Callithrix jacchus: one gene and its partners. The protein of the gene in region 1 interacts with the protein of each later gene in a pairwise test. Links are inferred from orthologs where the notes say so. Each region holds a gene or a part of one and is shown in the gene's direction. Other genes may lie near its edges.

Region 1 (3,752 bases):
GCTACCTGGAAGAGAATTGGTAAACTGTTAATATGTACTTCTAAATAATATGCTTATGGGCAGTTCTTTTCTGCTTTGTATACCTTTCAGTATTTATTCTTTTAAAATAAAGCCAAAGAATTAAGTTTTATGCATATGTGGCTTGATGGAAATTAAGGTGGAAATTTGGAATAAGTTAAAATGCATAACTGATTAGACTACATCATTAATGAAACATTAATTAAGCCTATTGTGAGGTGGCAGAATTAACATTTACCTTATTTTACTTAATTTTAAACACATTCTAGCAAATTACTTTTTAAAGTGCAACCAACATCAATTTTACATTCAGAAATAAAGTCAAACGTTTATTTTACTTAATTTTAAATAAATTCTAACAAATTACTTTTTAAAGTTCAACCAACGTCAATTTTACATTCAAAAATAAAGTCAAATGTTTATTATAATGTCAGTATTTCAACCTACTAAAACTAAAAATATTTTAATTTTTGATTTAAAAAAATCCCACGCAAAAGTCCCAAAGGTGCCTTTCATGTTTAAGCTTTAATTAGCAACCACTTTGTGCTCTGACACATATTGCGCAGATATTGAAGTGTTAATATTACTGCAGCTTGATTACAAAAGGCAATGATTAATTTTAAAGCAGACAAAAAAGATATGCCCTGATTACAAAGGAATGATTAAGGCGGAATGTCAGACATTGCACATTTATAGCAGTCTTTGCCATCGTCAAAGGAAAAGACTTTGTGCAAGTTTATATTTAGAATCATAGTTACTCTGTGCTTTATAATATTGGGTATTTATGCCTTGGATACCGAGCATCTCAACTGCAACTGGGCCTAAGACCTTCGGGGCTCACGTGCCCAGGGCAAACCCGCTGACCGCAGGATGGGCCAAACGAGCCGCCGTAGTTTAGGTTCTCACAGGCAAAGCTGGACCTGAGGCGCTGGCCCTTGGCATACGGAAGGTTTTGGCCCCGGGTTTTGTTGGCAAGTATCATTTTGCTTAAAGACAGAGCACTTTGAGGACATTATCCCTAAAATGAGAGAGGACTGGGATTAAAGGGCTGACTACAGAAAGGGCTGTTGCCCACACGCCCTCAAAAGCCAAGGTCTGCTATTTTTATTGCCACCAAAGCGAAGACAAACCCGTAGGGGGACGGGGGCCTGCGTCAGGGGTTCCACCAGGGAAAAAGGCAGACCTTGAACCTGCCCTCTTAGGGCGTGAGGGAGAAAAGCCCGGTTTGTAAACTGTAACGGGAAACCAAGGCTGAGGGCAGGAAGGGGCGGCAGCGGCCGGCGTCCCTGGACCCTCAGACCCCGCAGACTCCGTCCGGCGTCGGCTCCATCTTCTTGCTGGGCCGGCGACCGAGAGTTGGACAAAGGCCTATCTGGGAATAGTTCTAGAAGACTCCATCTTCTTTATTGTGCTTTCCAGGATCCTCAGGGTTGGTCATAAAATCTTGAAGGGAGAGAAAAGGATCGCAGGAGCCAGGCCCTGAGATGAGCTTGGAGTCCCTGTTTCAGCACATCATCTTCACCGAGCATCAAGCGGAGGAGAGTCGCCGTTTGATGCGAGAAGGTCGGGGGATTTCTGTCCTTTGCATGGGGCCTTTCGTCTTCTGGTGCTGGGTGCTTGGAGCAGAAGGAAATCCCGTAGGCAGTGGTCAGAGCCCTTAGGGGAGCTTGCTTGTCATGCTGAGGGAAAGACAGCTGAAAGGTGGCTTCTCAAACGCCGCCAACATCGGACTTTAGAAAGATCTATGTGTTTAAAAATTTAATTTTTGTTATAGTGAGGTTGGAAATAACCAGATGTCGTGAAAAAATTGAGAAAGCAACGGAGAAGCTGAATGAAGAGAAAATCGAGCTGGAATCTAAGGTATTGAAATGTAGAGCATACTAATTATTACTTGAGAAAGCCTGCCTTCACTTGACTTTTGGGGATATTTCACTGTTTAACCAGCTGTCCTTCAGGTAGGAAGCACACTACTTTTGTGCTGGCTGTTTTAGTTCCATGTTGCCTGGTAATGTTGAAAGTTCTGAATCCAGTGACCCCTTCAGTTCCAATATGAATTTGCCCTAAAGAATCTAAGGTAATGAAGAATTCGTTGTTTATTTTGTGGGATGGTTAAGGTTTTAAAAGAGCACAATGTCATTAGAAGAATCATTATGTTACTTAAAAAGTAGGTGCAGTATATACATTTTGAATGATAATTTGTGTGCTACGTTGATATAACAATTGTATGTAACTTTCAAAACAAGCCCCTGCCTTTTGTTTTAAAATTCTCTGCCACATTTTAGACATGCCTGGCATCCAAACTATGTTTTCCACTAGCATTCCTCTCTTTCCTGCAGTGTTTGTAAAGTTCTGTTATTTTAAATAGAAGCAAGAGAGTCTGATGGCTTTTGAAGGAGGATTTTGAAGGGTGGATAGAATTTTTGAAGAGGCAAACAGAAGGAAGTAGCAGGAGAAAAGCATTCCAGACAGAGAGGAGGCAAATATGATCCAGTGCGTATGTTAAAGGAATCTAGTCAAACCAGAGGGCTGATATCTGGGAATAGCAGAAAACCACTGCAAATTTCTGATCGGGGAACAGTAAAAGTGGTTTTAGGTAGCCCAGTATGGTGGCATGTGCTTTTAGTTCCAGTTACTTAGGAGGCTAAAGTGAGAAGACAGTTTGAACCCAGGAGTTTAAGGCCATCCTGGGCAACATAGGGAGACCTCGTATTTAAAAAAAAAAGGTAGCTTTAGGAAGATCTTTCTGACCTCTGATTGTCAAGATGGGAATAGATTATTAGGAAGCAAAGAACATTATTTAAGTGTGCCACAATGAAGACCTTGCTATGGGTGGGGACAGAGTTATTCAAAATTATTTATTAAATAACCAATGATGAACTAAACAAGCAATGTGTAATGTGAAGTCTGTTTGAGGAAGTTTTTTTGCTTCAAATATATCTATTTTAGCTTACCACTGTGGGGAATTTTCAGATTTCTTTGAGAATGAAATAATCAGAGAACATTACTCCATCCAGCGAACATTTCTCCATCAGCTCTTCTTTCCAGGTGTTGCTCAAACATGACCAATAAAGCCTTCCCATAGACATCTTGGTAAAATGATACATACCTGTATTTGTGTTTGCATCCCCCACTATTTTGTGAGCAACATATGTGGAATTTTTTCCTTATCCATCTTTTATTCCCACTGCTTGTTATCTAACACTTAGTATATCATATACAGTAGTGTGTTGAAAGAATTAATTAGTACTAATAGTTTGATAGATAATAGGGAGAGTCTTTGAAAATATAATTTGTAGCTATCATTCGGAGAAAATGCCTACCATTGTTTAGAAACATTTGTTGAAATTTCTAATTAATATCATAAGCATGCATTGCTTTTTAACCAGCTCATATATGTGGGTAATAATACATTTGTATCTAACAAAATTAACAGATGAGGCTCACAGTTCATACAATACTAATTTATAATTGAATAGTTCGATTTATAATTATAGTCAAGATGGTATTTATATGTGCATAAAGAATTAAAAGTAGAACCACAATTATAATGCAAATGACTAATGGAAGAACTGAAGATGTAAGCCTAAATTGATTTCTTGTTTCTTTTATTCTGAGTTAATTATATGTCTGCCAATAACAATGAAAATATATTTACTTGGCATTTATTGACCCATTTATCAAATGGCAGCAGCAGAAGGAGAAATTGTTAGTAGAACTTAATTTGAATTCAGCAG
Region 2 (3,327 bases), on another chromosome or scaffold:
CAGCATGTGGCACTCCCCTCCCTAACCTCTGCGACATGGCAACCACCAAGACTAGCTGAAAACCGAGGGTGAGTCCTTTCATTAGCTTTTCCCCTGAGCTGCATCTGCCCCGGCTACCAGCCAGAACACAAAAGCTTCCTGTCTGATTAGCGTATACTTAACTAATAGCAAACCCCTTCTCACAGAGCAGTTCTATGAGAATCATCAGGCCTCTCTTACCCCTCATACCTCATAGCTGCTGAGGCAGGGAATTTTTCCAGAAGGCCCAAGGCTACCAGCCAGCAGAATTAAGTGTCATTCCAGTGTCTACCCAGGCCTGACAACATCGTGCTCCCAGAACAGCACTGATAACACTCATAACCACAGGGGCCTACAGAAGGTGCCTCGAGACTGAAATAGGAGCACTCATGGCACAAGAAGGCAATGCAAATTTCATAAGCAACACTGAGGACAAAGGCAGTTTCTGCAGAAATGTCATGGCTACCTGGGAGCCCAAGTCTGAAGGAATTAGGCAGGGATCCCAGAGAAGGCTCTGATTTTTCAGGTCAGGCCCTAGGATCTCCTAGGTCCAAAGGTGAGGCTCCCCTGCCGAGAGAACCTGGCCCGTCACTGCAGGGAGAACTATTTTTAGAACACTTAAAGCGTTTTCAGAGCTTTGACAGGTTGAAGATTGTCTGTTCATGGAGGGGGCTTCTGGGAGAAGCTGCCTCTGGCTCTGAGGCTAGCTGGATTGACCTTTCTTCCCATTCCCGTAGTCACCTGAGCCTTCCCACCCTGGATTCAGTGCACGGTGAGGCCACTGCCTTATTTCTTGTCTGTCTTACTCTTTTCCACAGACTGTAGGCTCCCAGAGAGCCAGGCTTATGTTCTTCTTGCACCCCCAACAGAGCACACTGAGCTAGGGGCCGCGATGCTGAAGGCAGCTTCGCACATCGCTTGCTCTCTGCACGGGGCATGTCAGCTCCGAAGGAATCCACCTGGGCCAGGTCCAACTCAGGCCGCTGAATTCGCCTCCATGATCCCCCCCGGGCCTCCCTGGCGCCAGAGGGCGCTGTAAATACTCCGTGGAGGTTCCCCGCGGCTGCAGTCTCCCGCCGCATCCGCGCGATGAGCTCCGAGGCGGCGCAGCTGCTGGAGGCTGCCGACTTCGCAGCTTACAAGCATCGTCAGCAGCGGCGGAAGGACCCGGAGGGGACCCCCTACATCAACCACCCCATCGGTGGGCACCTCGGCCGCGGGGCACCGGCTGCGGCGCCTGGGGGGCGGGGACTGGGAAGGAGACGTGGGGGGCGTCCACCTCGTTGAGCATCTATTTTGTCCCAAGCATAGTGCGATATTTAAGCCTCACAACAATTGGAGCGGTAGTCGTGATCGTTCCCTTTGCCGGTCTACACCGAGAGGGTAAAGAACTTAACCAAGGTCACCCAGCTAGTGAGAGGCCACAAGGGGCCACATCTGGCTCTCCGAAACCCACAACACACAGCCCTGGAGCTCCCCCGGAGCTGACTTCCTGCTTTGCCCCTCCCCGTCAGGTGTGGCTCGGATCCTGACCCACGAGGCGGGAATCACTGACATTGCAGTGTTACAGGTAACTTCCCCACTTCTCTGCCAGGAGTCTGGGATAGGGATCGGGGGCCCCATTCAGCAATGGGCATCCCTTGGCTAGCATCTCAGGGCTGAATGGGAACTTGTCCCCAGGCAGCCCTGCTCCATGACACGGTGGAGGACACAGACACCACTCTGGATGAGGTGGAGCTACACTTTGGGGCACAGGTGCGGTGCCTGGTGGAGGAGGTAACAGATGACAAGACTCTGCCCAAGCTGGAGAGAAAGCGGCTGCAGGTGGAGCAGGCGCCCCACAGCAGCCCCGGGGCCAAACTGGTGAAGCTGGCAGACAAGCTGCACAATCTGAGGGACCTGAATCGCTGCACCCCAGAGGGTACGCTTTCCTATGGGTTCTAAGGGAAAGGGGAGGGGGATGCCACCTTCTGAAGGCACAGGTTGGTCAGTTCCCCTGAAAAACTCTGGGCATTCTTAATTCCCAAATTAATTCTACTATACCACTCTTGATCTGCCTTCCTATGGTCAAAATACAATAGCTGAGCCACAGGCAAGTTTTTGGGACAGCTCATCCCATCAGGAACTCATGGCCTTGAACCAAGCTTGCCAGGAAGCAGGCAAAAGGCAGTGCTGTCTTTGACATCAGGCTAGCAGGTTTCTGCCGATTCTTATGCAGGATGGTCAGAACAGCGAGTCCAGGAATACTTTGAGTGGGCAGCGCAGGTGGTGAAGGGGCTTCAGGGAACAAACCAGCAACTGGAAGAGGCTCTAAAACGTCTGTTCCAGCAGCGGGGACTGACACTCTGAGCAGTGCTTGGAGCTCTTCAGCAGCACAACTCCAGCCTCGTCCAGGCCGGACAGGATTCACGCACCTTTTCTGTGCCTCCTGTGCTCCCTCCATCCTTCCCAGATACCAGAGGCCAAAAAAAGACTTGCATTTTTTCTCAATCTGAAGGTCTCCTGCTAACTAAGCTGAGCCCCCTGAGTGTGGGAATAAGATGTACCCATCCATTTCTGATGCACTCGCTGCCTCTCCCCAAGTCTTGGGTCTGTTTGCTATTTTGCATGGTGGGATCTCTGTTCCCTCAGGGACTTGAGATTATGTAAGTACTAGTTCCTAAGTCATTATGGTCAATAAAAAGAACTATGGGTAAAGGTGTAAATTGCTGCTGTTCCTTCTCCAGCCTCCTGGGTTGGGGACTGGTAGGCTGCATACCTGTCCTTCAGCAAAGCAGGGTTCTAATTGTGTGTCCCTGCATCACCTCCCTCAGGTTGGGGGTTTAGCCCCTCCGAGCCTAGCTTCCTTATCAGTGAGATGGGTTGTGTAATTATCAGGTTAGACTGTGAGGTGCCTGATGGAGCCTGACACATAGGTGCTTGTAGGGCTGTTGGCCCCACAGGGTTGTGGGGTGTCCCTTATGCTGTGCTGAAGTGCAGGATCCAAGAAATAGACAGGACACTGAAGAACTGGTGAAGGGCATCTGGACTTGGGGGGGCCACGCCACCTGAGGGGAGACAGGCAAGGCCCCGAACATGCAGAAGCATCTATTCATTAGGTACAGGCAGGGGGAAGGGTAGTAAGTGAGGTTATCATCTATAGGCTTAGTGATAGGGCATACATAATCACGTGAGACACAAGTGAGGGGGCCACCCCGTTATGTTACCTGGGCAGAGAGGTGGGCCATGTGCAGTAGGGGGCCGTGCTGTGTGCAGTAGTAGAGGGTCGTGTACAGAAAGGGGGTCCACCCCTATTAGGTCACCGAGACA
Region 3 (3,752 bases), on another chromosome or scaffold:
AGGCTGACTATAGTCAAGAATAACTTAATTGTACATTTTTAGATAACTTAAGCGTATAATTAGATTATTTGTAACTTAAAAGATAAATGCTTGAGAGGATGGATACCCTCTTCTCCATGATATGGTCATTTCACGTTGCATACCTGTATCAAAATATCTCATGTGTCCCATAAATACATATGTCTACTGTGTATCCACAAAATTTTAAAATTTTTAAAAATTTAAAAATAAATTAAAGTCTGAGAACTATAAACGAAATGGTTAAGAGCACGAAGTGTTCAGACAGACATGGAGACACCGCTTACCTATTTATGAACTTCAGATAGGATTGCCAGATTTGAAAAACAAAAAACAAAAACAGGATGCTCAGCTTAATTTGAATTCAGGGCCAGGCCCAGTGGCTCATGCCTGTAATCCCAGCACTTTGGGAGGCTGAGGCGGGCTGATCACCTGAGGTCAGGAGTTCAAGACCAGCCTAGCTAACATGGTGAAACTCTATCTCTAAATAAATAAATAAGAAAAAAATTTTTTGAACATAATTTTTTTTTGTGTTAGTATACACACACACACCATACTACACACACCTACTTCTTATCTGAAATTCAAATGATCTGAAAGCCCTTACTTGAGAAGATTGCCTAACTTTTTCATTCCTAACATACACTAAGCATTTACTAAATTTTACTTATTGTTATTTTTGTTTTATTTTTATAAGAAGCAGTATCCAGCAAAGTTCTTGTTGTTTTTGAAACCCTGGCTGTGTCACAATATGACTAGCTGTATGATTTAATCTAGTCATTTAATTCCTGGGAGCCCAAAACAGGAATTATAAATGTCCTTTCACTGACTTGCTGTAAAAGTGAGAGAGAGAACGCTGGATGAAATAGCTCCCCAAGGTTCGTTGTGGCTCACCGCCCAAGCCCAGGTACACCAAAACTACACATCCCACAATCCTAGGCGGCGTCCCCTGGCCATTACCTCATTCCCTGGCCTCGTTCTCCCCAATCCTGGTCTCTCCAGGGGTGAGGCAGCGTGGCTGTTCTCGCGACTTTTGCTCTACCCTTCTGCTGTGCTACTCCTGTCGCGAGACTTCCTGCTCATCTGCCGCTCCCTTTGCCGCCGCCTTAGCCGGGGACCTGAACCCAGCCTCTCCCCTACCCGAACACCGTCCCCGGCTCTACTGAGGCCCGGGTCCCCCAGCCCTGTCTCGCCGCCGCCATGGCGGACCCTAAATACGCCGACCTTCCCGGCATTGTGAGTACAGGCCGGCACCGGCTCCCCAGGACCGCGCCCCCGACTTCCCAAGGACCCCCAACAGAATCCAGTCCGCGACCCCTTCCACCTGCAGCCCATCCTCCGCCCAAGGTCTCCCGCCGCTCTCTCTCCGACCGGCCGCAGCACCCTCCGAACTCTTCTGACCCAACTGGGCCGGGCCGCCGCACGGCGCACCAGGCCACCTTTCCGGCAGGCGCCGGTAGCTCGACCCAGATATCTTCTCCGGGCACTGACCGCTTGTGTCCGAGTGTTTCCACCATCCATGTCAACGCCGCCCGTGCCCCCCAAAACCTCTCCATAAGACCCCTACATCCCTACCCCATACACACACACCAGGCCACTTAGTGATGGCCTTCATCCTGCCAAGGAAGAGGTTACTGTGGTAGAACCCTCTTGTGCCAGATAGGGAGCTCTATCCTTGGGGGAACCTGTGCCCTCGCCCCCGCCTCCATGACAATCCTGGCGGGTACCTTCCTTTTGTGCTGCCCTGCTTGCTTCTCAAGGTGGGGGTTGGGACACAGGACCTTGGGTACTAAGGTTCTGAGTCACTCACTCTCAATCCTTGTGCCAGGAAGTGGTGTACTGGGCCTAATTGGAGGATAGCCCTCACCTTCTTTGGCAATACTGATTGCCAAGGACCTGCCCGCCTCTAGATTTAGGGTAACATCGTTGTTATCAGTTACAGTCACTGTTTACTGTCAGGTCCCAACTGTTTCCTCTGTTATCCCTACCCCTTGAGGCAGGGGACCTGACATACTGTTGACTCACAGGGCTGGTGGAGGAGAAAGGACAGAACCCTGGCATCACACTCTGTCTTCTCCGTTAGCTTATTCAAAGGGAGTGGGGTAAGGGGTGTTGTTGGATGCTGGGTAGTGAGATTGGGTGGTCACTGCTTCTACCTGCAGGCCAGGAATGAGCCAGATGTTTATGAAACCAGCGACCTACCTGAGGATGATCAAGCGGAGTTCGATGCGGTAAGAATATGTGCTGCCACAGGACTCCTCTGGACTCTGACCTTTCTCCCCTAGACAGGTCCTTCCCTTTCTCTGGGGAGCTACAGCAATAAGCGGGTATGCCAACCCCAGCCTGAGTGGTATATAGTTGCAGGGCTTGCAGAGGCCATGCTGGGCTTGCAACCACCAGTAACGGCAGGCAGGAGGGAGAGTCAAGTGGAATTAAAGCGAACAACATTTGTTTGCAAAGCCCTCATCCTTGGGCCTTTTAAATAACATTGAAATATCTCAAAACAGGTTTGGGGGCTAGTGACTTAGGCTCTGAGTTCTAATCCATGGAAATGAATCATGAAGCCTGAGCACTTTTAATAAACTGCCTGAGGTTAGGAAGTAGGCCTTACTAGTTGCTACCAAGAACTAGACTCTGAAATATAATATGGAAAAATACTTTTTAAATATGAATATCCAGTAGCCATTTGGCAAGGAATTAAGAAAGTGATTTCAAGACTTTATAGCAAAACAAATTTGAGGAAGAATGTAAATATTTCACGTCAAGGAAGGTGAGACTGGTTGCATTTTTAGATCCAAAAACTCTGTGGATGGAGTAATTAGGTGTGGACGTATTTCAGCTATGAGGGGAACACTTAGTATGCTTTATTGATGTGTTCACTCTGTGTTTGTTTGTTTTTGTGCAACGCAGAGAAAGAAATGTCGATGCCCCCCAGTGAGCCCCAGACTAATGGAGAGTTAGGATACATATAGGAAACATATGGAAGGAAACAAACCAAAACTGAGTGAATGGAAATCAACATAGTAAAAACTCTAAGTGTCAAGGGGGACAGAGATCTACTAGCATGTCTTATAGCATGTGTTTTTGGTTCTATTATTTCTGAAGAGAGCTGGGCTATGATCACATTGATGATGTGAGTTCTCAGTAAAGGTGTGTCCAAGAGTCATTGCAATATGCAGGCTCAGTATGCTTGTCTGTAAGTCCTGTGGCTATGTCTGTGGGGCTGGTTAGTTCTGGGGAATGCTGACTGCTGGCTTACAATGTATGGCTTGGCGTACTCACTTATTTCTTATTTGACTCCCCTATGTGGAAGTGGTTCTTACATTGTGGGAAACACCTTCCCTGTTCCTTCTCCCAGTGGTGTGATCCTTGTGGCTTCCATATTTGTTGGCATGCCAATCTATCCCCCAAGCTTGAGTATCTTGTAGATAATAGAGCTGATGTTGCTCAAGGACCTGGGTGTGCACCTGTCCCTCAAAGAGGTGTCTTACAGGAAGCTGTCTCTGTCCTCACAGAATAGGAGAGTATACAGTTGGCTCTCTGTATTTGAGGGTTCCAAACCCATGGATTCAACCAACCATTAATGGAAAACATTTTTTAAAAAATGAAAGATAGGCTGGGCGTTGTGGCTCATGCCTGTAATCCCAGCACTTTGGGAGGCCAAGGCAAGTGGATCATTTCAGGTCAGGAGTTCGAGACCAGACTGGCCAACATGGTGAGACCCCATCTCTACT

Evidence for each region. The genes of interacting proteins can lie anywhere in the genome.
Region 2: the proteins of CCDC172 (region 1) and HDDC3 interact in binary tests that used the Homo sapiens proteins (3 or more experiments, as listed by UniProt). The two-hybrid records come from large-scale screens. The link is inferred for Callithrix jacchus from reciprocal best matches to the Homo sapiens genes CCDC172 and HDDC3.
Region 3: the proteins of CCDC172 (region 1) and DCTN2 interact in binary tests that used the Homo sapiens proteins (3 or more experiments, as listed by UniProt). The two-hybrid records come from large-scale screens. The link is inferred for Callithrix jacchus from reciprocal best matches to the Homo sapiens genes CCDC172 and DCTN2.

The regions. Positions count from the first base shown.
Region 1 is NC_133513.1:109,276,256-109,280,007, forward strand, and holds the start of CCDC172 (coiled-coil domain-containing protein 172), read left to right. Parts: upstream 1-904; 5' UTR 905-989; intron 990-1,437; 5' UTR 1,438-1,502; coding exon 1,503-1,581; intron 1,582-1,792; coding exon 1,793-1,878; intron 1,879-3,752.
Region 2 is NC_133507.1:19,505,355-19,508,681, forward strand, and holds HDDC3 (guanosine-3',5'-bis(diphosphate) 3'-pyrophosphohydrolase MESH1), read left to right. Parts: upstream 1-1,083; 5' UTR 1,084-1,107; coding exon 1,108-1,219; intron 1,220-1,532; coding exon 1,533-1,588; intron 1,589-1,698; coding exon 1,699-1,939; intron 1,940-2,236; coding exon 2,237-2,367; 3' UTR 2,368-2,715; downstream 2,716-3,327. UniProt on the Homo sapiens protein: ppGpp hydrolyzing enzyme involved in starvation response.
Region 3 is NC_133510.1:62,151,647-62,155,398, forward strand, and holds the start of DCTN2 (dynactin subunit 2), read left to right. Parts: upstream 1-1,103; 5' UTR 1,104-1,218; coding exon of another isoform or gene 1,219-1,254; intron 1,255-2,180; coding exon of another isoform or gene 2,181-2,187; coding exon 2,188-2,249; intron 2,250-3,752. UniProt on the Homo sapiens protein: Part of the dynactin complex that activates the molecular motor dynein for ultra-processive transport along microtubules. In the dynactin soulder domain, binds the ACTR1A filament and acts as a molecular ruler to determine the length.